Tamandua tetradactyla: one gene and its partners. The protein of the gene in region 3 purifies or fractionates together with the protein of the main gene of each other region. This does not show direct contact. Links are inferred from orthologs where the notes say so. Each region holds a gene or a part of one and is shown on either strand. Other genes may lie near its edges.

The links.
Region 1: the proteins of ARPC5L (region 3) and ARPC2 fractionate together in Homo sapiens (co-fractionation; 7 studies listed by BioGRID and IntAct, with this or other methods). This does not show direct contact. The link is inferred for Tamandua tetradactyla from reciprocal best matches to the Homo sapiens genes ARPC5L and ARPC2.
Region 2: the proteins of ARPC5L (region 3) and ARPC1A fractionate together in Homo sapiens (co-fractionation; 7 studies listed by BioGRID and IntAct, with this or other methods). This does not show direct contact. The link is inferred for Tamandua tetradactyla from reciprocal best matches to the Homo sapiens genes ARPC5L and ARPC1A.

What each region holds. Positions count from the first base shown.
Region 1 is NC_135329.1:193,701,700-193,712,300, reverse strand, and holds the start of ARPC2 (actin-related protein 2/3 complex subunit 2), read right to left. Parts: upstream 5,808-10,601; 5' UTR 5,586-5,807; coding exon 5,579-5,585; intron 5,446-5,578; exon of another isoform or gene 5,045-5,445; coding exon 4,963-5,044; exon of another isoform or gene 4,960-4,962; intron 1-4,959. UniProt on the Homo sapiens protein: Actin-binding component of the Arp2/3 complex, a multiprotein complex that mediates actin polymerization upon stimulation by nucleation-promoting factor (NPF).
Region 2 is NC_135349.1:7,366,616-7,376,963, reverse strand, and holds the start of ARPC1A (actin-related protein 2/3 complex subunit 1A), read right to left. Parts: upstream 4,772-10,348; 5' UTR 4,635-4,771; intron 126-4,634; 5' UTR 97-125; coding exon 33-96; intron 1-32. UniProt on the Homo sapiens protein: Probably functions as a component of the Arp2/3 complex which is involved in regulation of actin polymerization and together with an activating nucleation-promoting factor (NPF) mediates the formation of branched actin networks.
Region 3 is NC_135328.1:46,982,835-46,993,393, forward strand, and holds the start of ARPC5L (actin-related protein 2/3 complex subunit 5-like protein), read left to right. Parts: upstream 1-6,348; 5' UTR 6,349-6,502; coding exon 6,503-6,651; coding exon of another isoform or gene 6,652-6,664; intron 6,665-10,249; coding exon 10,250-10,322; intron 10,323-10,559. Other genes in the region: RPL35 (large ribosomal subunit protein uL29), read right to left, coding at 1,452-1,588, 2,013-2,015. UniProt on the Homo sapiens protein: May function as component of the Arp2/3 complex which is involved in regulation of actin polymerization and together with an activating nucleation-promoting factor (NPF) mediates the formation of branched actin networks.

The DNA of each region.
Region 1 (10,601 bases), on a different chromosome or scaffold from region 3:
ACTCAAATTTTGTCACTTACTGGGTATATAACCACAGGCAATGTTACTCAAATGTCAACAAAAGTCAGTTTCCTCTACTACACTTGGGGATAAAAATACCTACCTCACAAGGTTGTGCAGAGTAAGTGAGATATGTATAGTAGTTTGCCAACCAGTGTTTCTTGAATTCATTACAGATGTGCTGTGATGAGCCCTGAGAGCAGCTAAGTGGCAGGGTCTCTAGGCTTAGCCATTTGTCAGAATGTACCATACAAATATTTTCACATTCTGTGTGTGTTGTATCATAAACAAGGTCAAGAATCACAAGTGAAGAGTGGCCGCAAGAATCACAAGTGAAGAGTGGCCGGCACAGTGCTTCATACAAAGTAGTTACTCATTAAATGTTTACTCCCTCCACCAAAGCCCTAGTTTTCTCAACTGTAAACGGGAACTGTTACACAGGAACATTGTGAAATTAAATGAAACCATGTTAAAGTATATAGCATAATGCTTGGTTCACAGAAGGTGATCAATAATTAGTTTTTTTCTCCTAATCAGATTTTGAAGTTGTAGTTGAGAGAGGTTTTGGGATAATGGTAACTCCCAGAACCAGGAATTGATTAGCAGTACAAGGAGAAATAGATAACTCTTTAGTAATGTCAGACTGTTGTAATCTCTAGAATCCTAGAACAAGCCAGCTGGATAAATCCTCAGGGTTACTGAATGGATAGCCCAAAACACTAAAAGATATTCAATTCATTCAAATGGGTTTCAAGAGGAATTCTTAAAATCTTCTAGAAAAAATTTTCTTCTCCTCCTTTTTAACGAGTTTCTGGAATGAACTGGTCAGTCAATAAAGGACTCTTGACAAATGCATGACCTAGGCCTTTTTTTTTCACTAAGGATCTTGGCGTTTTTTACTCCTGAATGCATCCTAGGATCCAACTCCTTACTTGGGCATTTATCCCTCTTCCGTTATCCCTTCCATGAGTTGAATTAGAGGTATTACTGAATTCTTCTCACTATAAAGGTTTCTGATCACTTTCCTTTAAATCCTATATAAAGCTTTCATCGTTCTACCTGAGCAAAGCGTACAAAAAATGGACATTAGATAAGAGGTAGTCTTACTATCTCTGCCAAGTCATATATCACAATATGGAGAACAAAAGAACTAAAAGCTGATTCACACAATGTCAGAGAAGTGATAATCTCTTAAAGAAAGCAGGAATCATGACACTGGCTTCGATCATTCCTTTCAGAAACATTTACTGCCCATACATAAATTGAGGATACTGGGAAAACAAAACTCCATAAGGAGCTGTCAGTTTGGTGAAATGTAGCTCTGGGGCTTCATCCCCAAACTGGTCCCAAGGAGGCTGGAAGACAAGCAGCAGTGTGTTAACAACCTGTAAAAAGACCATCCAGATCGCCTTAGCAAGCCAGCCACTACATCCCATTTCTTCTAAAAGCTTAAACAATGTCCTAATTCCAAATCATTTCAAACCAGTCTGTCTCTCTGAGGACAGATGCAGCATATTTGGGAATGAGAACAAGGTAGCAGCAAGATTTAATTTATTCCTTTCTCAAATTCCTCCCACATCCTCGCCCACCCCAACTGGCACTGCTTGCTTACTGAGCTTCACTCCCCCTCAGAGAACCAAAGCTCCCCACAATATGCACAGGCTGTGGCAAGGAGCCACCATGTACTTAAAATCAACAGCAATTCTCATCTGACAGCATTTCCTCAATTGTGGACTCCAGACTCTAGCTAAGTAGCCAAGCCTAGCTTCTGAGGCTGAAAAGGTTCTTGGCGCGTATAATGTAACAAGAGAAATTAATCTGCCATATTACTTCTGGTTTAATTGGAGATCTGGGTAAGAATTCCTAAATGAAAAGGCGCTGATGTTGATAAGACCTGAATATGTGGTTACGTGCAGTGTTGGGTACAGTTTTTTAATCAGTTGCAACCTCTTAGTTTGAAGGTTGTCAGAAAGACAATTTACCAATAACTATCATTTTGTGAGGGTGTAAGGACTGTTTCAATAAACAACTTTTCCAGGTATGTGGTGGGAAAAAAATAAAATACGATCTGTTTGCAATGAATCTTAGCCTTTGTGTGAACTGCTACCAAATTAAAAGCTAATCAGGACCAAATGTATCCACTTAAACAGGTTAGATGACAGACCTGCTTTACCCAGAAGAAAACTGAGACTTTTAGTAGGATACCATAAGGCAAGAAGATCCAGTAGGATGTTCTGAGAGTCTTCGTTAAAAAATATCAACCCCCAAAGGAAAATTAAAGCAACTGTACTCTACATGTATATATACATATACACCACAGAACTATTTTAAAGACTAACTCATGCTTACATTTTCAGTAGATGGAATAGTACTGTTCAACTGAACTTTACGCAATAAGGAAAATATTCACCATCTGCATTGACCGATTCAATAGTCACAAGTTTCAGAAATGTGGCTAGCATGACTGAGGAACTCAATTTTTAGTTTAATTAAATTTTAATTAAGTTTTACATAAACATAAATAGCCACATGCAGCTAGTGGCTATTGTGCTGGACAGCGCAGAGCTGGAAGATTCATTCTGGAAAAGGTTGCTTTGAACCCTCATTTCTTCATTTGGTTTGCTCTGAGAAGTGTAAAAGCAGGTTGGAGCTGACCTCTCCTTGCAGGCTTGCATACTGGCAAAGCCTTTCAAATCCAAGCCACTGCTTCTCTTTAATATTTCTCTGATCTCCCACCCAACCCTACGTTAACAGCTTCTCTATAACCTTGCCAATAGGTCTCTTAAAAAGCCCTCTTTTCTCTGCTCTTGTCTTGGTGCTGAACATTGGCGGAATCCCATACATGTTTATGATCATCACACCAGTCATCCTTTGCTGGAAGTTCTGGCATAGGCATGTGCTGTAATAAAATATCTAACTTCTTTCCTGCTACCTCATCTTACTGGTGTGCCTGGAAACTCAAACTTGACTTGGAAGCAGGCTTCTGCTGGTTGTTATATTTGCAATCCCAGAAAAGCCCTACCTACTGGGCCTAGTATCATGGTCACTTTTCAACTGTTTTTCAGCAGAATAGATTTTGAGTCTACTTATTTAAAGTCACATCTCAAAAAGAAGATGGACCAGAATAAAAGTCAAAACTAGCCCACCCCCCACATCCAACTTTCCTACAATGTGTATCTTTCTAACAATTGTCCTGGAAGTTCTAATTTATGATTTCTTGATTTAAGGGCCTGCTTTATTTCCTCTGAAGAGGTTAGCTGCTAGTTTTAAGAGCAATTTTCTAAAAGAAAAAGAAAGTTGAAGGTCCAAATAGTGGGTCACATTCTGTAATCACAAGTTAATAATACCCAAGTAGATGTGAACATACTCCTACATTACAAGGCATGCCTCTACTTGAAAATACACAGACATTTATCTTGCAGCCGCCAAGTTTCATTCTTTGCTAGTCTAGACTTGAAAATGCATTAAAATCGGTTGAGAAAATGCAGAAGTTAACTCAACTTCCTCCTATGTGCTACAGTGCTCAAAAAAGTACACAGCAATTGCCCAAAATAAAACCTCGGGCTGATTCACTTGAGTATTTAAAACGCAAAGGAATTGGTAAGAGGCTAAAGACAAGAAGTTAACCTAAAATATAAGCAACTGCAGGCGTTGGCATCAAATGGTAATGCTCACTGCATGTGTTACTTCAAGGAAAGTCATGCTTTGTTTTACAGATAAAATCTGGTGTCTTACAAAGGAGAAAGAATAAACTATATTTTCAATTTAAGTAGTCTGTTAAAAGTACCCTTTTAATTTTTTTTACTACCTTGAAACCACAAGTTCACTATGACTACTTAGAATTTCCCCTCTGCCAATACTCTTTCATTTGTAGATCTCCAAGCACTTACTTTCCTATTTCTAGTTCCCAGTTCATCAGACTCAGTTTGCAATTATTTTCTCAACTATAAAACCAAAATGTGAAACCCCAGCTTCACAAATGGGGAAATGAGGCAAAGTACTAGCCACAGGCCACTTTTCTAAGCTTATATTAGAAAACCAAAGCAGCTTTGGAGGAGGGGTTCTTTTCTATTGGTTCTTGTATTTGACTAAGACTGTCTTGGAAATACGTTCTATGCCCATATTTAAAAAGGCCAACAGTAAAGAAGGCTAAGAACTTTTTAGACTGGGCCAGGATTACCGCAGAAGAAATCACAAACCAAGGGTCTTGTATAAGAATTTATAAGACAAACAACCTGATAAAGACTACGAGAACTTCAAAGACAGATAAAGAAGGGGTGTGGATTGAAGGGCTATTAGCTTTGCTTGAGAAATATGCAACAAGATGGCCAGTTTCTTCTCACAATAGGGTCGGGGAAGGGAAACTAGACAGATCGCGTTTTTCCGGTTGCAAGACTGGATCTGACTAGGGAGAGAGAATGGGTGTGAAGCAAGCAAATGCTTTCAACCTTCTCTCCTACACCTTTGGAGGAGGCGGTGGGGGTAGGGAGCAAGAATGGTGGCGGTGATGTGGGCATGCATCTTCTCTTCTCCAGTTCTGGGAATCCCTGAAAACTCCTTTCAACCCAATTCCAAAACCAAAAGGGTTCTCTTCGGACGTAGAAAACAATGACCAGCACGACGGAGGGAGGTGGTACCCCCTCCTTGCTTCAGAGGGCAAATGGATCCTCCAAGAAGAGTTCCGACCCCAACTGCCCTCACGCCCCAAAGGACTTCTGCCCTTTGGCAGGCGCACTCCTGACCACTCACAGCTTCCGCATCCCTCCTCCGAGCTTCGCCCCACGCATCTCTGCCCCTCACCCCACCGCGCCCAATCTCTTCCCACGTCTACCGGGCGGCCCCCCACCCTGCCAGACCACCATCCTTCTCCTTCAGGTCTGGGGGAGGCTGGACGACACCAGAGACTGGCGAGGGGTCGGTTCTGCTCCTCCACCACCCCCAGGGCCCCAGCCATGCGCTCACCCGGCGGCGGCGTTCTCGAACTTGAGCGCAAGCGTCTCCTCGATGATGCGGTTGTTCACCTCCAGCAGGATCATGGCGGCGGCTACCCCGGGCAGGGGAAGGAGAAACGAGGGCGGGTAAGGGTGGGTAAGGGAGGAAAGGACGGAGGGAGCGGCCCTGCTGCCCCCTGAGGAGAGGGGCTGGGTGCGGTAGGATGTACGGGAGAAGGGGACAGGGACCAGGGGAAGGGGAAGGGGAAGACACGCGCGCTAACCCGCGCACGCACTCACTGTGGAGACAACCACCCACCCGACAGACCTGGCCCCCGAAGCCTGAACCCGCCTGCCGAGCCGCCGCCGCCGCCTCACCGACAAGCCCGATCCCCGCCCAGCCCCCGGCTCTAGCCGGCCACTTCCGCTCTCACACCCACTTCCGCTCACCGCCCGAACGCGCGGCCCCGCGGCGCCATTTCCGCTCGGATCTTCCTCGTGCACGCGCACGCAGGCACGCAGGCACGCCGGGGGTGGGGTGGGAGGGGTAGGTGGCCTGAGGCGGCGCGTGCGCAGGCGTCTTACCGCCGCCCTGCCTCTGTTTTCCTACAAAGCCGGTTCACAGTTGATTCAAGATTGTCCCCTACCTGTCATTCCCCAGGTCCTGCGTCAGTGTTCAGATTCTCCGTTCCGCTTGTTCCAGAGGTCCAGCCTCCCCTTCCGGTCCTGTCCTTTCAGAGACCCCAAAAGTAAATCGCTCCTGATATCTCCCATCCGGCTTCTTTTCTCCCGGTTTGTTCGTTCTCTGTGTCCCTTCCTCATTCCACGTTAAAGACTGCCCAGCGGCATCGTAGTGCATTCCTGTCTCCCACAGATACTTAGAAGGTTCTGGCTGTGTGCTGAAGATACAGTGGTGAACGAAATAGATGGGGTCCTTCCCTTGTGGAGCTCAGGGTCTGGTAAAAGAAACTGGCCAAAAACCACTCAAATATATAATTATAAATTGTTAAAAGGGCAACGAAGGAAAGGAGCAGGAAGTCACCCTGGTGAATAGGCGAGTTAGATGTGCCTCCCCAGATTCCTGTCCTGCCTCCATTTCTGTGCCTGCGGGAGCTTCCTCCGGGTAGTTTTCTCTGGCTTTGAAACCCCTTACCTTATTATATCTCTGCTCCAGCAGTTTCATACTCGAGCAGTTTCATACTCATTCGTGTGCGGGATCTGAACTCATCTTTGTGCTGTACTTTCTGCCCATGTGACTTGATTTGTATTTTCCCTCCTCCAAGAAGTTAATAAACTTAATTGAGTGCTACTACATGCAATAATTTATTTTCCAAGTGCTCTGTAGGGAGAAGGGATCCAAAAACCAAAAAGCTAGCCCATATCAAAAAGACAGCCATTTAGAACCGGTTTTTTTATTTACTGCGGTGGATAAACTTCAGAAATTGCATAGCTCCCCAAATTAAATGTTATATGCTAATGTTTTAACATTAATGTTTATTGTATTAAAATAATGCATATACACAGTTTAAAAGCATATACATTTAGTACTAAAAAGGCTTGCAATGATAAAAGCAATTTCCTGGCCCACTCTTCAGAGGCAATACCCTCAGGGTTTTTAGATATTTATTCTATTTACCTTTCCGTTTCTGAATAAATGTTTATACCACTATTTCTTGGTTTGTTAATTTTAAGCATTATCTGTTGACTTTTGACCAAATAGGTAACTTGGCTCTACTACTTTCGCTTCCCCTATCCCAGCCCTACATAACTGTGTAACAATTTTTGGTTAAACAATAATCAATATTTATTAGTATGCAAATATTTATCACTGATGAGCCAAGAAATGCACTGTAACTGTAACTGAGAAATTAGGGTTTATGGAATGATTTTGATTACTGAATTGTTATATATTCTTTTTTTTGCTTTCTGTTATCTTGGAGCAGTCAGAGGGAAACACCTGAAATCTCTAAATTGTAATCCAGCTTCCTTGATCTCTTGATAATGATTGTATAGCCTTTATCTTCTGCCCCTGTGATTGTAAAAACCTTGTGACTAAAAAACAAACAGAAACCTCAGCCTTGTGACTCACCTTCATTTGTACCCATTTATCCAGTTTTTCAACTTCAGAGTCTTATAATAGCCAAAGACAGCCCCTAATATTTATTAATGAAAGGGCTTGTGTCAGTCCAGAACTGACCCGTCCCAACTCCAAAGTTATCTTGGTTACGGAGACTGGATCTAACCAAAATGGGCCTGCCTGACAACGTGCAGTAACAGACTTTAAACTACAAGTCACTTAGACCTCATTATAATACTAAAAATCATGCCCATCATCATATTAAGATCATCATTTTCTTACATATGATCATGTAATCAATCTGTAATTGCATGTAATCAATCTGTGCGTGCTCAATAATTAGATCCCTCTAATTACATCATCTGGGACCACTGTGCTCATTATCCTAAACCCTGCCTGTCTGTTTTTATCTATACAGCTATCAGAATTACTGCAGTTCAGGGAGACAGATTTTGGGCCGATAGGGCAACTGATCTCCTGCTACGTGCCTGGTGATAAGCTTTTCTCTCTTTGAAACCCTGGTGTCTCATGAATTGATCATTGAATGAGCCAAAGAATCCACTGCCTTTGTCCGGTAGCACAAACATACCTTTTAGCTTATGCAGTTCTTCATTTTCCCTAGGGTTAATTATTGCCTTTTTACCCGCACTCATTTGATTTCCTATATGTTTATACTTGGCCTCCCCCATTTCCCCACAATGCTCTAAGACTCAAAAAATCTAGCAATAGTATTTCTATATACTCAAATACATAAGTTCCACTTTTCTCTAGACTGTTTGTCCCAGAGCCTTCTTTGCTTTTGTTTCTATTTGGATTGATTGCTCTCTAGGCTTGCTGCACAATTGTCATTCTGGGATTTTCCTTCATTGCTGTTCTGGGTTGGTTTTGCCAGTTTCCCAGGTCCTGTCTTCCTTGTTCTTGATTTACTCCCTTGTTTTGCTGAAGCACCTCATCTAGTAGCTTCCTAAGAAGAGGACATGGGGGTTATGTCATTGGAATCTTTGTATATTTGAAACTGTTTTATTTCTACCTAACAGTTGATTTGTAGTTGGGTTGGATATTGAATTCATTTTGAAAGTAATTTTCCTCGTAATTCTGAAGGTATTATTCCATTTTCTTCTGCCTTCCAGGGTTGTTATTTATTTATTTGTTGTAATTTAGAAGTTTGATGACTTTTCATATTCTTGATCCTTTGTATTTTATGTCTCCCTGGTCTCTGGAAGCATTAGAATTTTCTCTTTAGCTTATTGATTGGAAATTTGACAATGATGTGCCTTGCTATGACTCTTAATTCTTTTGTTTTGAGCACACATTCAATATGGAACTTATGTACTTCAGTTCTGGGGGATATTTTCTTTAATTATTCCCTTGATAATTTCCTATTTTCTTTGTTCTCTTTCTAGAATGTATATTATTTGGATGTCAGACTTTGTGGATAGATCCTTTGATTTTCTCTTTCTTCTTTTTGGTTTGTTTTGTTGGTCTATTTTTCTGGGTTATTTCCTTGTTATTATATTCAACTATTTTAAATTTCAGTTTTCTTATTTTTAATTTCCAAGATCTTTTGTTCTCTGACTGTCTCCTCCCCACCCCCTGCCCTCATTATTTGAGCCTTCTTTTATGGACAGGATTGTCTTATAATATCTGAGAATATTATTGCATGTTTTGTTTAGTTTTTCTTCTGCACTCTGCTCTGCCTCCATTTCTTTGAGTCCCTTTTAATACTAATTTGTTTGGGCTCTCTCTTTATTGTTAATAGCTAGCTTCAAATATCTGGTTATCTTTAGCAGTCTGTTCATATTTAAGGATGAAACCCTAAAAACCTGACTGCAGCTCTGAGCTTATGGGCAAGGTTGGTTGACTAATTCCTTGCTACTCAGCAGTGTGGTCCAGGGACCAGCAGCATTGGCATCATCTGGGAGTTTATTGGAAACATGTAATTTTAGGCCCCATGAAAACATTCTGAATTAGAACCTGTATTTTAATAAAATCACTAGGTGATTCGAATGTATATTAGATTATGAAGAGCACTGGACTAATGAGCTTCACCATGGAAGGTGCACCAGATGATGTGCCAGATTTTGCTGGGCCTGCAAAATCTTAGTATTCTCTTTTCTCCAGAGAATAATTTCTCAGGTGTGTTTGGGGATTATGAACTTGGCTGTGGGTGTTCCCAGAGTGTGCAGGGAGCTGGGAAGGCTTGGGTCCCCAGCTGACCTCCACTTAATCCTATCATTAACCCTGTGCCGCCCCTCTGCCTTCTACTAGGCTAAAGTCTATAGAAAATCAGTCCCTGGTGGTGGAGATGGAGAAGGGGGGCTGGGGGTAAGGTGGGTGTTCTAGTTTGCTAGCTGCCGGAATGCAATATACCAGAAATGGAATGGCTTTTAAAAGGGGTGATTTAATGAGTTGCTAGTTTACAGTTCTAAGGCCGAGAAAATGTCCCAATCAAAACAAGTCTATAGAAATGTCCAACTTAAGGCATCCAGGGAAAGATACCTTGGTTCAAGAAGGCCGATGAAGTTCAGGGCCTCTCTCTCAAGTGAAACGGCACCTGGCAAACACAGTCAGGGCTTCTCTCTCGGCTGGAAGGGCACATGGCGAACACGGCGTCATCTGCTAGCTTTCTCTCCTGGCTTCCTATTTCGTGAAGCTCCCCAGGAGGCGTTTTCCTTCTTCATCTCCAAAGGTTGCTGGCTCATGGACTCTCTGCATCTCATGACTTCATCGTTCTGCTCTCTCTGAATCTCTCCTGAATCTCTCATTCTCCAAAATGTTTCCTCTTTTATAGGACTTCAGAAACTAATCAAGACCCACTCAAATGGGTGGAGACATGTCATCCCTAATCCAGTTTAACAACCATTCTTAACTAAATCACATCAACCAGGGAAATGATCTCATTACAGTTTCAAATATACAGTATTGAATAGGGATTATTCTACCTTTAAGAAATGGGATTTATATTAAAACATGGCTTTTCTTAGGGGGCATACTTCCTTTCAAACCAGCACAGTGGGTTAGGGTAGTAAAGGGGGTAATCATTTGACTGCTGGGAATAGGGAAAAGGAACTAGAGTGCCAAAGGCTCTTGCATAAGCTTCCCATTTTTTCACTTTGTTTTGGCTTGTTTAAACATATGACTAATACCACAAATGTCTTTGTACCCACCACCCATTAACATTTTATGATTACATTTGACAATTAAATTTGATTCAGATCTTAAAAAAAAATACGGGGCGGGCCGCGGTGGCTCAGCGGGCAAAGTGCTTGCCTGCTATGCCGGAGGACCTCGGTTCGATTCCCGGCCCCAGCCCATGTAAAAAACAAACAAACAAACAAAATACAATAAAACAAGAAAATGTTTAAAGATGTTTCCCTTTCTTCCTCCCTTCCTTCCTTCCATCCTTCCTTCCTTCTCTCTGTCTTTCCTTCCCTTCCTCCCTCTTTGAAAAAAAAAAAAATAAAATAAAAAAATAATAAAAAAAAATACGGTGGAAACCTCCAGTGAAGCCTACCCCAATTCCATTTCTTTCCCTCCATATTTTCTTTCTTTCTTCCTCAAATGTAATCACCTTGCATTTGATATTTATCCTT
Region 2 (10,348 bases), on a different chromosome or scaffold from region 3:
AAGTAGAGAGAGACAAAATTGTGAGCACTTACGGGTACGATCCCTGTTCCATGCATGACAAGTGATTGGCTCTAGTAAAAACTGATGCAGAGACATTATTCTCAGTGTTTTCAAAGGGTAGAAAGCTGAAATGAGCAAAAGAAAAAAATCCTTAAAAATGACAGGTTAACTAATTTTTATAAGTTTGAGGGTCTTGAAATGTTTATGGATAAATAAAACACTATTCTCCCATTAAAAAAAGAATCAATCTCAATGTCAAAACTTAATCATTTAAATAGAACTAGCACTGTAACCATCAATGTATACTCTATTCCAGCAAGGGTTATGGTTGGACTCTAAAGCCATTGGTTAAAGATTACTGGGGTACTGTATATTCACACAGTCTCAAAGTATCATCCACAGATTCATACTAAGCACAAAGGTGAAAACATGCCTATACAATGGAAGAAATCTGGCAGTCACCACCTCAACAAAGTGATCAAATTTTGTAACAGAAATAGTAGAACAATCTAGCACGATGGGCCCCTAATGGGAGAAAACATGATGTACACATCACTTAAAAATAGTGGCCATCTAATTCATCATCCAGGCTAGATTATTTTTGAGAGCAAAAAGGGACATTATTTAATAATTATGCTGGGACAACAGATGTAAGGCATGACAACTGTGAGAAACCTGGGTATACTGTCAACTTACCTATGAAGTATTCATATCAAACATATTACTCTGAATCTAATCAAGACCCTCAGCTAATCTGCAGTTTACAGGAAATAAAGGGGTGAAGAATGAACTGAACAATACAAAGAGGAAATAAACAGATGAAGCTAGGATGTGGGCCACTGTAAAAAACAATTGGCCTGAATTATTTTTAAAAAAGCAATATAAGGGGGAAAAAGGGTAAACTGTTCTAGATTAAGAGGGCCATGGAAGCCAAATTCGATGCATGAACTTGATTATAATCTATATTTTACAAAATAACCATAAACAACATTTTTTACACAATAGGAAAAATTTGAATTTGAACTAAACATTACATGACAATATGTAATTCTTTTAATTTCCTTAAGTATAATAATGGTAGTGCAGTTAAATAGAAGAATTATCCTAGTTTTTAGGAGATAAAGATGATGAAGTATTTAGGGGTAACTTACAATATCTTCTGTAGCTTTTTTCAATAGTTCAGAACAAAAAGTACAAATACAGAGAACAAATTTGGCAAAATGTTTACAATAGATGAATCTAGGCACAGAGTATACAGGTGTCTGTTATACTGATTTTTAAATTTTTTATTGTAACTAAATGAAAAGAAGCAACAATTACCTGAAATAGGGGAAAGATTTTCAGGTTTTAGAAAAAAGACCCCCCCACTCCCACACTAACATCATTTCTGAGAGCCACTCTCACTACAATCTGAAGTTTGGATACACTCAAGGACAAGTCCTGTTAACCTAGGGTGGAGAACGAAACTGGAGATAGGAATTCTGATGCAAACAGGAAATGAATGGAAGGGTCACCAGAAAATTGTGCCAGGAACAATGAAAGCTCAGTTGACAACGCAGAATTCAATCCAGGTGGAAAGCCGAACTTCCTCTGACAATTGCAAAAGAACCCAAAGATAAGAGGTAAGTGTAGCCTGAAATAGGCCGTCTGATATCTTGAACTAGCAGAGAGATGCCAGTATTTCACATTCTATATACTCTATGTTTAGGTCATTAAATTTTTTTTCTTTTTTTTTGTTCTAGAAAGCAAATTGTAACTCATAAAGAAAAAGACCTAACAGAAAGTTAAAATAAACAAATGAATTTCAAACGAGACCACTTTTATTGTTTTAAAAAATGAACTTCCAGTTACTCACTGCATGATTCTTTATCTCTGATATCAGATGCTTACCACAACAGGTTTTACTCATAGATATTCAAGATTACATGTTGTGTCACAAATATCTCCTTAATTAAAACCAATTTAGTTCAAAAGCCACATTTTATAGGCTCATTTGTTAAGTGAAACCAAATTGGTCTGTGAATTAATAATTTAATATGAATAGCTACATGCAATAAAAACATGTTTCATGCAGTTAAAAAAGAAGAGCTTTTCCATTTTTCAACTCAGCTTAATAAGCAATGTAGCAAAGGCTTCCAAAAAGGCAAACATTACTTCTAAATGGCATAGTTACTTCTAAAATTGCATTTCTAATTTTGTTATATCATTCAAGTTCTATATTTGGACATATACTCAGACCTGCCCTTCTTTTACAATCATGTGGCTATTTTAAGTCTGTCAGCCAGACAATATTCATATTTGTCAAATTTATAACTTAGTAAAAACAGCTTGTATGCCACCAAATTCAGTGAATGCAGAGAAATGCATTTTTAATAACAGCCTGAATTTTGTACCAAGAAAACGAAGCCATCTGTAGTAAAATGATAATTATAACTTCTAAACTGCGATTAATATTTAAGTGAAATCTGAAAACCTATGTCTTAATGGGGTTAGAGAGGAGAAAAAAGGGTAGACAAAAAAGTAGTGCCATTAAATATAACAAGTTTTTTACTGACTATCTTGCATTGTCCAGCACTGAGAGAATTAAAAACAATATACAGCACAGCATGATTCCAGGATTCTCCCCCATCCCCTTTCTTTACTCATCACTTTGAGTACAGAGGCATTCTGATTGTACAGTTACCCATGAGCTCTGAAGCCAAGGGGAGCTGGGTTAGAATCCTAGCTTTGACACCTAATAGATGTGAGACCCTGGGCAATTTACTCAATAGCTCTAAATCTAATTGTTTTAATCTGTAAAATGGAGATATCGCTGACAACAAGGCTGTTGGTAGGAGGAGTAAAAGAAATAACATGCGAAAGCAACTATTTTGAGCTTAGCCCAAATTACATGCTCAGTAAATTAGCTCTTTTTTCATTTTGACCCTAAGAGCTTGTGAACCATCCTTAGAAGAATGTGCCAGTTAGCTGAATTGGAAAAGTTTATGTATGCTTTAAATTCTTGACCTTGCTCCTCTGCAGCTTCAATGTATTCATACAACTGGGAATTTCGGTTGACCTGTTTGGGGTCAGATTTCAAGACTGATTCATCCTGCTTTAATTGCCCAATCCAGCAATACCAGGTACTGCAACCAGGTTACCACACCCTCCCAGCCTTTATGGCTCCAATTCCAGACATTGGCCTCCCCAGCAGACCACCTGAAACTTCTTGATACAGAACTTATTTCAGCATAGGATTAAATAGCTAGACCAAGATGAAAATACTGACACTCTCCCTCCAAAGCAGGAGTTTAAAATTTTCAAGATGATCCCTTCCTTCAATTGTGACTAGTAGATGATTAATCTCAGAGGGTCTCAAAAAACTTTGTGGTAGGAGGCCACAGAACAATTACACCCACTTCCTAAAAGGTCAAAAATACCCTCTTGACTGATATCCTCTCCTTTTTTTTTTTTTTTTTTTTAAGATAACCGGGAAGACTTAGGGCTCATCTGAAACTAAAAGGTGGATAAAATTAATAAAGGAGGGCAGAAGGAAGATAACTTAGGTAATTCAGGCAATAAGTAGAGGTAGAAGTAAGTTAAGCATGTCCGTCACGTTCCAAAGCCACAGTGTGAGAACGGATGGCTTTGTAATAAAAAATTCTAAGCTACGATTGATTAAGTGCTTTACAGGTCCCCAGCAATGCAATATGTAGAGGGATGGGGCCAGAAACATAATTAAAACTGACACCTTTCTGGTTCTTATGTCTGGGGAGAGAGGACAGGCAAGAGAGGAAGGGAAGATGGACATGTACACAACACAAAGAAGCAGCAATACTACTACATTTACTGAGCACCTACCCTGGGCGGCAAACTATTTTGGCAATTCATGCAAATAAACTCATAAGCTCCTCAGAAAAACCCTAAGAAACGGTTATCGTAATGACTGTAGGTTACCGTAATGACTGTCCTATTGCAGATGAACTAACAGAGACGCAAAGAAGCCCTCTTCCCAGGGTCACCCCCTAAACAGCGACGATGCCAGGATTGGAGATCGACTATAGGGTAGAAACGTGAAAGATGTTATCTTATAAAAGATCTCAGAGGCGGGTGCACTTGTGATTTGAGGGAGACGGGGAATTTTAAGGAACTCAAAGGGAAGATTTTTCTCGAGTTCGGGGATTCCCCCAAAACTGAAGAATGAGGTCTGCCCTAGAGAGGAGTCAAACATTCATTCCATGGGCTCCACTGTGTGTAAGAACCTATTCTAGACTTTGGAGAAAGACATGGCACTCGATTAGGGGAAGATCATCCCACTTATTATCAGTTTTATACAGACTGTGATATATGCTCACAATCGAGGTGTGAACAGGGCCCTGGGCGCGCAGGTTAAAGAGCTGTTAATTCTTTCACTGGAAGAGGCTTGGCGCTCGAAATTCTTGAGAGAAGCGATCTGTTCTTGTGAGGACCCCACGGAAAAGTGGGGAACCCCCGTGGCCCCCTCAGCAGGCCCGGGAACGGGGACCCAACCCGCCCCTCAGCCTCCGGGCCCAGCGGCCCAAGTCCCCGCCTCGCCGCCCCCTGGGCTAAATCCCCGTGGACAGACCGAGCAGAGGTGGCCAACAGCGCCAGAAGCTCGCCCCCCTGCCCTTTACCTGAGGTCGGGGTAGTCTGGACGGCCGCGGAGCGGAAAATTCGCGGACTCTGGTCAGTCGACGCGAACAGGCTCCGGCGCGCGCGGGCGGAGACCGAGGCCGGGAGGGAGCGGCTGACAGATCCCGGAAACGGCCACAGCGCCTGCGCACCGCGGCCAAACGGGCGGTCTGCGCACGCGCACAGCTCGGTTGAGCGTTCCGGCGTTGGGGTAGGCGGCTGCCGAGGAGCGGCGCCACAGCACCGCCTGGAGGTGGCAGCGAGACAGCTGGGCGCTTTTACTCCTCGCGGAAGATTTTCTCAGACTCGCAAGCCGAGATGTGGAACCTTGGGGGCTTCCCAAGTGCTTTTGTCGAACACAGGAATTAACTGAGAATTGGAGTTTTTCGAACCATGTGTGCCTGACGAACGAATACGTTTTTCTTCTTTCGGAGACCGCCCCCCCACCCCACCCCAACTCCAGTCAAGGCCAGTGGACCTGTGCTCGGCTCCCTGCGGCGCTTGTGTGCTCCAGGTCCCTCTGGCCTCGCTGGGCCAGGGGTCGCCGCCTCCGCCTTGTTCCCTCTTGGAAAGCCTCTGAGGCCCTCTGCCCGGAGCTTTAAAAACTCAGCCCTTCCTTGGTCAGAATCACTTGCTGTTTGTGATTGGAAGTCCAAGATGATACCAAAGGAAAGAGAAGTCTGAGGAACTAAGCACCACCAACCTCCTCCCCAAAACGTGGGAAGACTGTGCTTGCCGTGCAGCTGCAGCTTCTGAGAAATAATCCTGGTGCAAAAAGATGCCGCCCTTGAAGCCCTGAAAGTTCTGGAGCAGCACTCCTGTCCTCTGTGCCGCTAAAGGTTGCTAAGTGCTTATTGCCTTCTCACTGGTGGTTTTCATGTTTGACCCCACGCTTGATGGTGAGGTGATGTTTACAAAAAGGAAATTTGTTGAGCTCCCTATTTCAGAACCACACTATTAGGTTCGTTGGGTTAGTTAGTCCGGCTGTTCATGTACCACTAATGAACTGGAAGTCATTGGTTTTACGTTGTCCTATGGCTACAAAGTCTTTGGTCATAGGGGAATCGAGGACAGAGTAGAAAGATTTTAAGATTAATCACCCCTTCGAGAGGCGATCACCATATTAGCAAAGGAAAGATGGCATTCATGGGAAACACGGATTCATTCATCATGTGCCTGCAAGTTACCTAAACTGGTCCACGATTATGTTGAGTTGGTACCCACAGTCAAGTATCAACAATGTTCTAACTAGATTCCACCTTCTTACAAAGGACAATTTCTTCTTTTTAGGAGTTTATAATCTAGGAGAGAAGAATAACATACAAATGAACAAAAACAGACTCTTTATGATAATAACAAGAAATGTTAGGCCTAGAAAAATGACAGACACATTTAATATTAATCTTTGGTTCTATCTTTTAAATCACCATTTTGCATTGTAGCCTCAACAGAGGTTACTGCCTGAACAGTTACCACTTGATGCATTTTTGTAGATGGTAGCTTTAAAAGGGCCTTTATAGATTTAACCACTTTATTCTTTAACTGAGAAAGTGGACTGGCCTCCTGACACCTATTGAACCCCATTATGCCCTGGTAGAGAAACCATTGGAGTTCCTAGGAGTATGAGTTATTTTTAATGTTTTTTAGATTTGTACAGTTTTTAATAACACTGATTTATTATCCAAAAGGAAGCCTCTGCCTTTTAAAAAATTAGTAGCAAGAAAGGCAGTAAGAGGTGGGAGAAAGAGAGGCATTAGACACTGCTATGTGATAATTTTGTTTGCCCTATTGGTTTTTTCGGTGTTGGATTGAATTGGAATTTGGTTAAGATTCATCAAATAGTTAATGAGTATTCACTCATTAAATAATAAATAATGCCAAGTATTGTGTTAAACACTTCATGGACTGTACAGAAGAGTTGACTAAAATCCCACTGTCTTTAGGAAACTTAGACTAGCGTAAGACCACTTCATGAACAATTTTAAATATAAGAAAATTCACAGTACCTCAGACTTGGAAGGTCCTAGTTATGACCATGTTTTCCTTTAAGTCCTTTACAGATTTATAATAGCTACTTTACTGTTTTTATCTTTTTTTAAAAATTTTTTTAAATTAATTTTTAAATTTTTAAAAAAATATGACAAGAAAGAAAAAAACGTTCTTGACATGTAATCATTCTGTTCTATGTATATAATCAGTAATTCACAATATCATCACATAATTGCATATTCATCCTCATGATCATTTCTTAGAACATTTGTATCAAATCAGAAAAACAAAAAGACAACAGAAAAAAATTATACATACCGTACCCCTTACCCCTCCCTTTCATTGATCACTAACATTTCAATCTGTTTATTTTAACATTTGTTCCCCCTATTATTTATTTTTATTCCATATGTTTTACTTGTCTGTTGATAAGGTAGATAAAAGAAGCATCATACACAAGGTATTCACAATCACACAGTCACATTGTGAAAGCTATATCATTATACAATCATCTTTAAGAAACATGGCAACTGCAACATAACTCCATGTTTTCAGGCAGTTCCCTCCAGCCTCTCCACTACATCTTGAATAACAAGGTGATAGCTACTTAATGCTTAAGAATAACCTCCAGAATAACCTCTTGACTCTGTTTGGAATCTCTCAGCCATTGACACTTTATTTGTCTCATTTCGCTCTTCTCCCTTTTGGTCGAGAAGATTTTCTCAATCCCTTGATGCTGAGTCTCAGCTCATTCTACGATTTCTGTCCTGTGTTGCCAGGAAGGTCCACACTTCTGGGAGTCATGTCCCATGTAGACAGGGGGAGAGCAGTGAGTTTGTTGTGTTGGATAGAGAGAGAAGCCACATCTAAGCAACAAAAGAGGTTCTCTTGGGGGTGACTCTTAGGCCTAATTTTGAGTAGGCTTGACCTATCCTTTGTGGGATTAAGTTTCATAAGACTGTTCTTATCTTTAAATGACGTTTGTCTGAGTTATCTCAGAGAGTCTTTTTTTATTGGTTGCTTTTTTTTTACCATGCTTCTTTGTAAGTCTAATAATTTGTTATTGTGTATATTGGATATTGTGAATGATCCATTGTTGAGGCTCTGAATTCTGTTATCTTCCTCTAAGGAGTGTTGATATTTGCTCTAACAGGCAGCTGCTTATTGTATGATCATCTTTAATCTGTGGAGGCTTGGTGTCTTAGTTTGTCAAAGCTGCTCTTACAAATACCATACAATATATTAGCTCATGGTTTTAAGGCTTGTAATGTTTAGGTTTATATGTCACCTTGGCCAGGTTATGATACCCAGTTGTCTGTTCAAGAAAACACTGGCTTGTTACAGAGAGGACATTTTGTGGACTTAAAACATTAGTAACTTGATTGCATTTATGGCTAACTACATTTACAATCAACTAAGAATTTCTTCAGCAGTGAGAAATATTTTATCCAACCGGTTGAAGCTTTAAAAGGAGAAGTGCTAACTTCAGTAGTCAGCAGAGAGAATTTTCATCTGCACTTTAGCCAGCTGGCTTCTCCTGGGGAATTCATCGAAAACCTTCATTGGGGTTACCAGCTTATAGCCTGCCCTATGGAATTTGGACCCATGCATCCCCACGCCTGTGTAAGACACTTATATAAAATTGCATATTTATAGATATCTCTGTTGGTTCTGGTTCCCTAGAGAACCCTTAATTAATACAGCTTTGATACCAGAAGTGGGGCAGTCATTGAGAAGCAGAATTTAAAAAATGGGCTTTTAAAATTGGTTCTGGGTCTTTGTAATTGGTTCTTTACTCTGTTTAGATTCACAGGCACTCATGACTATATTTCCGGTAATCAGTAAAGCACTGACCATCCATGACATGAATTAACAATAGAGATACACAAAATATCACCACTGAATACGGCTACGCATGTGCTTAGAAGAGGCAAGGCTCTGGATGAAAGTGTCTTTGACACCTTAACAGAGTTTTGTGGAGTTAAAAGGTATCGTGATGTTGACTGTTTGTTCCTAAATACATTGGATACAATTACAAATGAAAGTGATGAACTGAAGTTTTCAAATTTGCAACTCATGCACTGCAGGAAAGATATGCAAGTATCTATGTGTGTCCTGAAAGAAAATCTTATTTCCTGTAGCTGCAGATTTGAGAGTTCTGAAAACCAGGCCTAGAATCTCACTGCGGGAGTGGCAGAGTTAGTGTAAACTAAATTCCCAGTTTTGCAGGGTGTCTGCTGTTTAATTAAAGGCATTAATTGGAAATCAATGGGATCCTGAAAATTGGAATGGGGACATATGGGTTGATAATGATGGCAGTGGAGACGTTGAAACCCTAGATTCTGATGAGTCTTTGCTAGAAAAACCTGTAGTGGTCTGCCTTGAGGGGACAGCCACTGGACCGCCAGCCTGCCTTGAGGAAACAGCTTCCAGTCTGCTCTGAGGAATCTGCCATCCAGCCCCCACCTGGAGAGATATAAACCATACAGTTCCTGATAAATCCATAACTACCACTCTTAAGGAAACAGCCCTCAGTCCTCTGTCTGGAGTGATTAATCCTTGTTTCACCAGTTGAAACTGCAAAAGAATACTCTGAGGTAATTGGCTTGAAAGACACTTCTAATTCCTTTCTTGACCCACCCCCGTCTACCCCTCTTTCCTTCAAGACCTATAACTAGATTAAAGTCCCAATAAGCCCCCAAAAGTGATGTACAAAGTGTGACCCATGAGGAGATATACTCTACTCCAAAAGAACTGCGTGAGTTTTCCAATTTATATAGACAGAAATCAGGGAATATTTGTGGGAATGGATATTAAGGATGTGGCATGATGGTAGAAGGAATATAAAGTTGGATCAGGCTGAATTTATTGATGTGGGCCCACTAAGCAGAGATTCTGGATTCAGTGTTGTAGCTCAAGGGATAAGAAAGGGCTTTAACAGTTTGTTTGGGTGGTTGGCTGAAACTTGGATCAAAAGGTGGCTGACATTACTTTCGATCAAATTGCCAGAACTGCCCTGGTACAAGGTACATAAGGAAACCCAAACGCTTAGAGAGATTGGAATGTTAGAGTGGATTTATCGTGGAAGATCTGCTCACCCACCCTAGGAATGTCCAGAGGACACACCTTTTACCAGGACTGTGAGGAATTAATTTGTGAGACTAACTCCATCTCTCTGAAGAGCTCTGTAGTTGTCTTTTATTACTGTGGGAACCACTGTCACTGAACTAGAATGGCCTTTTGAAGACTCAATTATGGCACAACTAGGTGGTAATACCTTGCAGGGCTGGGGCAGTATTCTCCAGGAGGCTGTGTATGCTCTAAATCAGCGTCCACTCTCTGATGCTGTTTCTCCTATAATCAGGATTCATGGGTCCAGGAATCAAGGGGTGGAAATGGGAGTGGCACCACTTACACCTGGTGAGCCACTAGAAAATTTTTTTGCTTCCTGTCCCTGCAACTTTAAACTCTGCTAGTCTACAGTTCTTTGTACCAAGAGAAGGAGAGTTTCCCCCAGGAGAAACATGATTTAATTGAACTGGAAGTTAAGACTGCCACCTGGCTGCCTTGGGCTTTCATGCCTCTGAATCAGCAGGCAAAGAAGAGCATTACTGTACTGGCTGGGGTGATTGATCCTGACTATCAAGGGGAAATAGGACTGCTACTGCACAATGGAAGTACAGAGTTGGCCTGAAATACAGGAGATCCCTTAGGGCATCTCTTAGTA
Region 3 (10,559 bases):
TGATGTCTATATAACGCATAAGAATAACCTCCAGGATAACCTTTTGACTCTGTTTGGAATCTCTCAGCCATTGACACTTTATTTTGTCTCATTTCTCTCTTTCCCCTTTCGGTGGAGAGGGTTTTCTCAGTCCCTTGGTGCTGAGTCCCAGCTCATTTTAGGATTTCTGTCCCACACTGCCAGGAGGATCCACACCCCGGAGTCATGTCCCATGTAGACAGGGGGAGGGTGGTGACTTTGCTTGTCATGTTGGCTGAGAGGCCACATCTGAGCAACAAAAGAGGTTCTCCTTGGGGTGACTCTTAGACCTAATTTTAAGTAGGCTTAGCCTATCCTTTGTGGGATTAAGTTTCATATGAACAGACCCCCAGATTGTGGGCTCCGCCTATTGCTTTGGTTTTCCCCACTGCTTGTGAGAATAACAAGAACTTGGGGAAGTTGAGTTTTCCCCCCTTTTCACCATTTCCCAAGGGGGGTTTGCAAATACTTTTTTGTTCACTGTTCAAATCACTCTGGACAAACCTACAAAATCTCATGCCCTACTCAAGGTTCTATGTACTTATGATGTTCAATTAAGCTGTCCACATAAGTTATATTATGAAATGCACTAGTCAAAATATAAATTTTGAACCAAATAAACATTTTTTGCTTTAGTCTCACAGTAAGTTGAAGTTTCAAAATATTAATTACCATATTTTTTCAACACCCTGCAGTATTGTCATTCCTTTGTTTTTCCTCATGCAAAAACATTTTCAAATTTGTACATTTAGTCTCTACTATTATACACTCTAGGCATTCCTAGATTATACCATCTCAGTCTTTATTGTCTATCTTTCCTTCTGATTTCATTTGTGCCCCCAGCCCTCCTCCTCCTATCATTCTCACATTCAGGGAAGAGGCATTTTTTAAAAAGAGAAAAAAGACTCTTAAGAGTTCACCCAACAGGCATCAGGTGGGATGTGGCAGGTAGAACCAGAGACAGACCAAATCCCTCCGTCTATGATTCTTATCTATGCAAATCAAAAGCTACCATACAACTAAAGAGGTCCAAGACATTCAGTCAACAAAGTAGGGGGAAAATCAAAAGCTGGTGAGAGGTGAAAACAAAGAGCCCCATTAGGCTTTTGGAGGCAGTCTTCAAGAGTCTTCAGAGGAATACCCAGCTCTTTATCCAGTCAGAGAAGCTGAACAAGTGTACTTCAGGCAAAAGGAGCGGCACTGTCAAGGGCAAGTAAACCGAAAAGCACATACAGCTAAGCTGGAAGGCTCACGCCGCTGGGTGAGCAAAGTCGCTTGGCAAGGCCCGCTCGACAGGGCATGGCATTCAGGCCCACAGATCCACTTACTGGACACCTTTCCAGAACAACTTCGAAAACCCACAAATGGTCCGTCCCGAAGCACATGGGGTCCCCATCCCCAGAGGGCAAAGGTCCGTTCGCGAGATAACTTACATCTTGGAGAGCTTGGACGCCGCGCCGCCTGTCACCTTGGCGACGCGCAGCTGGGACAGCTCCACCTTCAGGTCGTCCAACTGTTTCAGCAGCTCCTCCTTCTTCTTGCCGCGAAGATCCCGAGCCTTGATCTTGGCCTACGCACGAGAAACGGACGTGTGGGGTCAGATGTCCCGCGGGGAAGTCTTACCTACGAGCCATTCCTTCCCTTCCACCACAGCGGGAACAGTCCCAAGAGGGCGCGCGACTCCGCCAGAGCGCGCCGGGGGCCTGTCGAAACTCGGCGTCCCCGTGCCGCCAAGCCTGATACAAGGCCGAGCCGCTACCCCCATTCGGCTGACGAGAAGGCTGAAGCCCAGGTGAGCGCGCGTGTGCTTCTCTCTCGGATTCCGTCCCGCAGGGGGAGAAAACGGGAGGCCGGCTGGTGGCGATACTGGGCAGCTCCGCGCGGCGCCCCACAGGCCCAGCCAGCAGAGGGGATCCCGGGGCTCAGCCCCCACCCGCCACTTCAGCCCCGGAGCCTCAGGACGTGCGGATGGCGCCCGATGGCCAAGCCCTCACCATCGCTGCAGACGCCGCCGCCGCCGCCGCCGCCGCTGCCGCTCGCCGGGAGAGAAAGAGGGAGGGGCGTGGGCGACCTCTACAACTACTGCCGGGTGGCAGCGGCGCGGCCAATGATGTCGCGTGGGGGGAGCCCCGGTCCCGCCCCTTCCTCTCCTTCCGTTCCGTTCCCCATTTTCCTCCGATCAGGCTTGAGAGGCCAAAGAAGTCGGCCTTATTCCTTGAGCCGCGCAGTTGGGAAAACGGAAGTTTAGGGTGCGGGGTGGTTTACTGGAAATGGCATAGCACCGACTCGAATTTGTCTATTCAGTCATTCGGTAAACTTTTTCAGGTCGTTGGGTCCGTGCTGCTGTGAGCGAGGCGCCGGCGGTTTGGGGCTGCAGAAGGATGAGGGGTGAGGGTTTTCAAAGATGGCTTCCTCATTCCTCCCCTGCTTTGGACCGCGAGGTGGGAGGGCAGGGGCGGGTCAGACAGCTACAATGTATTCCAACTGCATAAACGTTCTAATGGAGGCTGCATGCGGCGGTGAAAGAACATTCATGGTTAAAAAAAAAGAAACAAAACAACCAAGTTTGAAATACTTGCTCTTGTTGCCAGATACTGGCAGCGACCCTATGCATGTCCCTTCCTCTCTCTTGGAGTCTCAGTTTTCTCACCTGTGAAATGGGTTGTTTATGAGGATTAGAGATGATACGTGCAAAGTTCTTAAACACAAGGGCCTGATGCATAATGATCGCTCAGAATATCGGTATTGTGTGCGTAATGGGGGATTCGTATACATATGTATGTATATCATTAGTATTAATGTTTCCAGGCCAACGGACAACTTGATTTGGGCCCTGGAACTTATAAAGTATTTACAAAATAGGGAAGAACCTCAGGCCTCCTGCCTGGGAAGTTCCATTGCTACCCCACCCAGTAAGCATCAGTCAGTGCTCCACTGTCGCTCCGGTGCTCTAACAAAGACACAGATCTTTCAGAGGTTTGGTTGAGGCCTCCCTGTTGCTATCAGGCTCCTCCAAGGAGCCTTCCCTTTTCTGGTCTGGATAGCAACCTCCTCTGCTCATACTCCCTTTAGCTTATACTGAGATGATGTGTTTATGTGCCTGTCTCCACATTCAACCTGGAAGTTCCCTGGTGGAAGAACCATGATTAACACCTATTTGGCATTTTTAGTCTTTAGGCACAGTACTTGGATAATGTTGGATAGAATGAATGAATGAGCCTTACCTCAGACCACAGCACCTAGGCAAGCTTCCAGAAAGTGGAAGGAAATAGGGAAGAGAGGTCAGACAGGACAATCTTGGCATGGATTAATCTTAAATCAAAGTCTAATGGTGCACAGGGGCTTTGCTGTCATACTTTCCAAACGCTCATACTCCACTACGGCTATTGGCTGTGTATACCTTTTCTAGGTTTGAGGTCATCTGTGATTCCTGTTTCTCTAAAACCACATTCAAACCATCAGCAAATTCTGCTGGCACTACCTTCAGAATACATCTCACCCCCTTCCCACCACCCTCATAGGCCTGTTCTAACCTGATCTACCATGCCTGTTATGTGGACACTGTGGTAACCTCCTAAATTGCCTCCCTACTTTGGCCATCTCTCCCATATGTGTTTTATTTTATTTTTTAAAGCATTTTTTCATTGTGAAATATACCATATATGCATTAAAGAAAGAGATTTCAAGATACCTTTTAACAAATAGTTATAGAACAAACTTCAAAGTATAGTATGGGTTACAGTTCCACAATTTCAGGTATTTCCTTCTAGCTTTCAAGATACATTTTAACAAATACTTATAGACACACTTCAAAGTATGGTATGGGTTACAGTTCCATAATTTCAGGTATTTCCTTCTAGCTGCTCTAATACACTGGAGACTAAAAAGAAATTTTAGTATAATGACTAGGTAGTCATACTCATTTGTTAAATCCTATCTTCTCTTTTACAACTCTTCTCTTTCATTTGATCCTTCTCCCAAACTTTAGGGATATTTGGGCCATGACCATTCGAACTTCTTCATGTTGAGAAGGGGTGTTGATATTATGGAATGGGGGATGCAACTGATTAACGTTCTTGGAGAGACTGGTACTTCTGGGTTTTAGGACTTCTCTGGCATGGGAACAATCTGAAAGTTTTAGGTTTCTGAAAAATAAACTTAGTGTGTGAAACGATCAGAGTCTCAGATGGATCCCTGGGTATTCTCTAGGGTTTTCAGGAATACTGTTGGTTGGGCCTTGCATACCTTGGCAATTTGCAGCCTCTAGCTGAACCTTGCATTACAGTAACCCCCAGAATAGCCTGCACTCTATTTGAAATCTCTTAGCCACTGTAACCTTATTTTGTTACATTTCTTTTCCCCGTTTTGGTCAAAAAGGCATTGTCAATCTCACAATGCCAGGGCCATGTCCTACACTGAGGAGTTATATCCCATGTTGCCAGGGAGACTTACACCCCTGAAAGTCCCATCCCATGTGGTGGGTGGGTGGGTGCATTAAGAGTTCATTTGCAGATTTGGGCTTAGGGAGCCCTGATGTGTTTTAAACACAACTGTTAGAGACCCTTTTCAAACTCAAGCCAGATCATAACTCTGCTCAGCACTTACAGGGCTGACTACTTCCTTTCCTTGGCCTGCAAAGCCCTTTATCATCTGTCCCCTCCATCCTATCTCACTCTTTTGCTCCAGCATACTCCAGCATACATCCTTGCTGTTTTTGGAATACACCAAGCTTGCCTTGCTTCTAAGCCTTTGCTTGGCTCCTCCCTCAGGTTCAGTGTCACCTCCTCAGGAACAGCTTTGACCACCTTTTCTAAGTTAAACTACTGAGCACAGTGTGATTTTTTTTTCCTTTAGTACTTAGTCATCCATTAGAGTATAAGTGGATTTTTAATTTGTGACTAGCATGGAAGTTCACAATCTGGAGAAAGGACATTGTTTTGTTCACCAGTTTATTTGGGCACTATTTTCCATGTAAAGTGGGCAGTCCTGATTTAAAATCCTGTCTGACCAGGCTGTTCCTTGGAGTATGAATTTTTCCTCTCTTGGCCTCCCTGGGATCACAAACGATTTCTTCCCACCTATAGAGCTGAAATGAAATGCCACTGTTTTTTTTTCGGTCTGTTTTCCCAGGACTCCTGATAACTTTTATTCAGCACCTATTTCCCACGGGGGGGGGGGGGGAGGGGGCAGTCTATCTTTAGTATCCAAGATTAGACAGCATCATAGTCTGGCAATACTTTTTTGATTTGTTGTTCAGTTCAGTGAGAAATATCCAAAGCAATAATAAAGATTCACATTTCATTTACTGGCCTTTATTAAAAAGAATACTGTTATATGAAAAAAAAGACCCAATTCAGCCTAAGTCTAAGACGGTTTAACGAAATCCCTCAAGCGAAAGCCCAAGCACTTAATCTTGGTACTTTGGGGCACTCCTAGACTCTGTCCTGACCCCTCGATTTCCCCCATCACAGATTCTGCGCATTTTATTACCCATAAAGAAATGTCTCTCTAAGCCCCACTCCTTTAACCCTTTGGCCCTTACTCTTCCTGTCAGGATGGTGGCCTTAGGGTCATCGTCCTCTCCTGACCGTCACACATGCATGGTCGCCGCACCCCCAGGGCGAAATATCTTCAGCGTCTTGTCAGTCCCCTGGATACACGGTCTTTAAGTCTTCCCATTGATTTGGGCGGGCCACGGTGGCTCAGTAGGCAGAGCAATCGCCTGCCATACCGGAGACCCGGGTTCCACTCCTGGTGCCTACCTATGCAAAAAAAAAACCAAAAACCTTCCCACTCATTTAATAACGGGATCATTTGTGCATAAGGCCTACAAGGCAGAAGCTGTCGTCTCTGTGCTCAACGTGGTGGGGTCAAAACCCTTAGACTCCCCCTTTCCCCCTCCCCCCCGGAGTATGAAAAGTCCTATTCATTCGTCAGGGCTCGGGTGGAAGATTTCTTTTCTTAGAAGCCGAACAAGCATTCGACAGGCAGGACGGGCGCCATCCCCTGTGGGCCTCGTGTCCCTTCGGTTCGGGTAGAGTTCACCCGGGATATCTGCGGCTGTGTCGGTGCCGGCACCCCCCAAGGCCAGGAGGAAGCCGGAGAACGCACACAATTAAGGCATACAAGATACCAGGCCTGCAATGGGAAGGTGAGTCCACTCCCGCGATGGGCAGACAGGTTCTATGAAGATCAAAGTATGGCGTCAAAGAAACCACCTAGGCGAGTGCCCGATTTTTCCGACCGGGGGAAACCGGAATCCCACCAGCTTTCATCCCGCCCAGCCATAGGTGCTTCCGGTTCCGGCGTAAGGCGGAAATGGGCGGGTGGAGGCTGCGCGCGGAGGTGGTGGGGGCGGTCCCAGCGGCCGCTTCCCGCCCCCCGAGTCGGAGCCGGAGCCGGAGCGGGAGTCGGAGACCGAGCATAGCTGAGTGGAGGTCCCCGCCAGAGTCGAGGTGGTTGGGCGGGCGCCGAGCCCCCCGCCATGGCCCGGAACACGCTGTCCTCGCGCTTCCGCCGAGTGGATATAGACGAGTTTGACGAGAACAAATTCGTGGACGAGCAAGAGGAGGCGGCGGCGGCGGCGGCCGAGCCAGGCCCGGACCCAAGCGAAGTGGACGGGCTCCTGCGGCAATATCCTTCCCCGGTGCGGCGGCCTGGCCTTCACGCTCCTCTCGGTTGGGCTAATTGGCTCGGCCATCCTGTTTGCCTCATCCCGGGCTCCAACCCTTCAGGCCGAGCCTCCCCACTCTCTTAGCTTCGGTCCCCTCTGACCGAAGTGTCCAACTCTTTTCCGATACGACTCCACTGAAGCTCCTTTTCCCCAGTTTTCTCATCCCCGGCACAGCTTTCCTCAGACCGGTTCTCCTCTCCACCCCTTATCCCAGGCCCCGGCGCCTCCCTGTACTGCAGCGCAGCCCTTCTCGGGCCCTACTCCTTGGTGAACGGGCTGGCTCACTCGACGGCCCCTGTAGCATGCCCACCTCGGACGTCCCTCACTCCTTAACCCGGCCTCTTCTCATTTCTCCCCCTTGTCTCCTTTCCCCATCCCCCATCCCCAGGTTGTCCCTTCTTTGAGCGCCTGATCACTCCATCTTCTCGCAGGAAACGGGGCCATTCACGGGCTTAGTCGGCGGGAGGGGCTGAGGTGAGCCACTCCTGAGTAATCGAGTGGCCAGGGCGGTCCCGGGCATAGCCCTCTCCTGGCTTTCTTGGATCCGATTGCAGCACAGCGTGAGAAAAGGTGGGTGGTTGGCTGCGGGGGAAAAAAGGACTCATGAAGTAATGAAGGCCTTAGTCGAGCCCTGAGGTCTGAGTGTGTGCACTTCACACCCCAGGATCAATCTGAACCTCCAGCCTAATGCTACTCATTCTCACCTATTGTCAGTTCTCTTGAACACCTTGGGCTTTGAACTCTGATGGTCTCATCTATGCTCAATAAGGAAGTTTGGCTTCCTCAATAGCCTTTTTGTGTATGTTGTGCGGGACGCAGCAGAAAAAACGAGTATCTTAGAGCTAAGAAAAACCAGAGGGGGTAAAGTAAAATGTAAAAGTAGAGCTACTTGACTGGAAATGACTATTCTTGTGGCCACGGGAAACATGCATTTGGAAAACAAGATTAAAAATAGAGGTGGTTGTTACAGCCTACTTGGTACCTTAGCAGTTTGAGCACAGGAAACTGACTTATTCTCACAGGAAGTATTTTTCTTTATTCAAATTGTTTTACAGGAAGTGCCCTCCCTTCCCCCTGCACTTGCCTGGCAAGGTTGGAGACTCAGGCAGTATATAAATCAGGGTCTTCGTGTTTTATCAGTTGACTCAGCTTGCACTCATAGACTGTCTTTGGGAGGAGCCCCACCAGGTTTCTCCAGTGTGCCTTTAAAACGAAAACCTTGTTTGAACAGGAATGTGGTTTTAGAGATGGGAATTCAAGTTTGTAATTGCTGTTTCAACAAGATCACCTTGCTTACCCCACTAGCAAAATGGGGTCATAGGAAGAGTCCCCAGGAGGGAAGGTTAATTCTGTAGCCTGGTGGAGGACCTAGCTTTTGGGCAGGCAGTGATGATTGGCTGTAGGGCCTGTGGCTCAGTACCCTGATTCCACAGATGGGGAGACCAAGGCCTAGTTAACTGCTACATTGGTCTTGTTGCTGCAGGAACATCTCTTTCTATGTCCATGATTGGTGATAAGTCCCTAGAAGATGCTTGGAGGCTTAGGCTTTAGCACATCTGGGTATGGTAGTTTCTTCAGTAATGACAATGTCAGAAACCTTGTTACTGGAGCATGTACCTCTGGGGATTAGGGGAAAGTGAGGTTAGTAGATGAAAACTGAAATCCACGCAAGTGGGGAACCCAGGGAAGAAGAAAGAAAGAACGAGTATTTATTGAACCCCTACCATGTGCCCAGGTATTGGACTTATATTAGGTCATTTAATTTAAACTGTAGAACAGGTTTCTAGGAGTCTTAGGACAGAGCAGAATGAAGTAAGCAGAAGGACTGTTTGGGGTAGGGGAAGGTGACAAGGGGTCTTGTCCTAAGGCTGCTATATTGGGAAGCATGCCATGATGGGAAATCACACAGATGAAGTACAAAGAGCATGGACTTTGCATCCACATAGATCCAGTCCTGTCATGCTCTGTATGGCCTTGGGTGGGTCACATGCCCTTTCTGAACCTGAGCACCCCCCTCAGTTAAATGGAGGTGAACATGCTGGCCTCTTGGAATCTGTGGGCCTGTCATGGAACAACACCCAGAAGGGTCCAGCACAGTGCTTCGCACACAGCAAGTGTCCATCCCAGACATAGTTGAGTGTGTCACTGTTGTGGTAGCATGGGGTTGGAAAGAACTTAGCTTTCGAGTCATGCAAGCATGGGTTTGTAGGCCAGCTGAATAGCTAAGCTTTGTGACCTCCAGCAGATCATTTCCCTTTCTCTGAGCATCAGCTTCGTTGACTTTAAAGTGGAAATAATGATCCTTGTTAGCAGTAGTTGACATGTGAAGCCCTGGCATCGGATCTGAGATCTTTTAGGAGTTTTAAAGTATTAATTCCTTTTTCTCCTTATTGAAACAGGTTCCTGTCTTCTTGAGCCAGAGATCTGTCTAGAGTAGTGGTTTTGAGTGATTTTGCACTACTCCCTTCTCCCCTAGGGAGAGTATTCAGCCTACAATTTACCTGCGAAGCCTCTGGAGCCCTGCTTATTGTTTTGGGGACCCCAAATTAGAAAAGGTTGTGAGATAGTTATAGTGGCTGATTTTAGGTTGGCCCTTGTTAGGCTAGGGAGAAGGAATTCCAAAGCTGAAAGATAAAGGGGGCTAGCTGCTGCTCCAGCATGGAAGTTGGGTCAGAGCCACACTGGGAGCAGGGGATTGGGGGAGGCTCTCCTGGTGGCATAATCCCAGCTCAGTCAAGATGGAGCCCACACTAGAGAAAACTGAGGCTTTGTCATTTTGCACATGGGCATCACTGCATGAACAGGAGTAGAGACCCGACGGGGCAGAAGCCATTCCTTGTTCTATTTTTGAAGCTTTTTGGCTGAAGCCAGTGCATCAGATGAGGAAATGAAAGTCGGCTGATGTAATTCAGTTTAAAATAGGTGTCACCTTTAAGGACCTAACCCAGATTGTAATTTTCTCCTGAGTGCTGGCTATTCAGAATTCAGCAGAGTAGTGGCAGGATTGCAGCTAAGGTTTGAGGGAGAATTGGCCCATTTTGTTGGTGAGAAGTTCTTAAGATCAATAAAGCCTTTGCTGGTAGCAGTTTGTGTCCTCATATACCTGGGTTGGTATTAGAAGATGAGAATGAAAGTTTTAGTATATCTTAATTTACTTAATAATCTAACAAAAAAGCATTGGATTAAGAGTTAGGAGACTCTTCTTTGTGCCTTTTTTTTCTTTCCATTTTTAGCATAAAAATGAGCATGCTTTGCTAATGCTTTGCAGTGAATGAGTGTCAAAATGTGCTTTGAGTGGGAAGGTTTAGGAGAAGGCAGAAAGAGCGATTTCTAGGCTTGGCACAGGTGCCCTCCACTCTCCTTGTGGCTCAGAGAAGCTATAGCCTGCCCTAAGTAGGCTGTGCCCAGCTGGAAGCCAAGGCAGTGGAAGGTGGGTGGAAGTGGATAATCAGAAGATCCCATTTGATTCTGTTCTCTTGGGGTGCTTTTGAAATGAGTTCATTAATGAAAACATGAACATTGCTTGAGCCTAACCATCCTTAACTGGTGGTGATGCACAGGGGACATGCTTCGGGCGTTTCATGCAGCTTTGCGGAATTCCCCTGTCAACACCAAGAATCAAGCTGTGAAGGTAAAGGTGGTCATGCTGCGGCTCTGCTGGGTTTTGGGACCAGGGCTCTGGTTGCCCATCTCCCCAGCTGGAGCTCCCTGGGGCTCCGGACAGTGTCTGTTTCATCTCTGCATCAGTGAGTATGTGCCAAGGGAGTGAGTTAGCACTGGGCACTACTTCCATGGAAGACTCCTGGCACTGACCAGAAGTTAAGGCTCCTCCGACATCAGAGCTATTAGTGCTTAAAGTAAAAGCTTC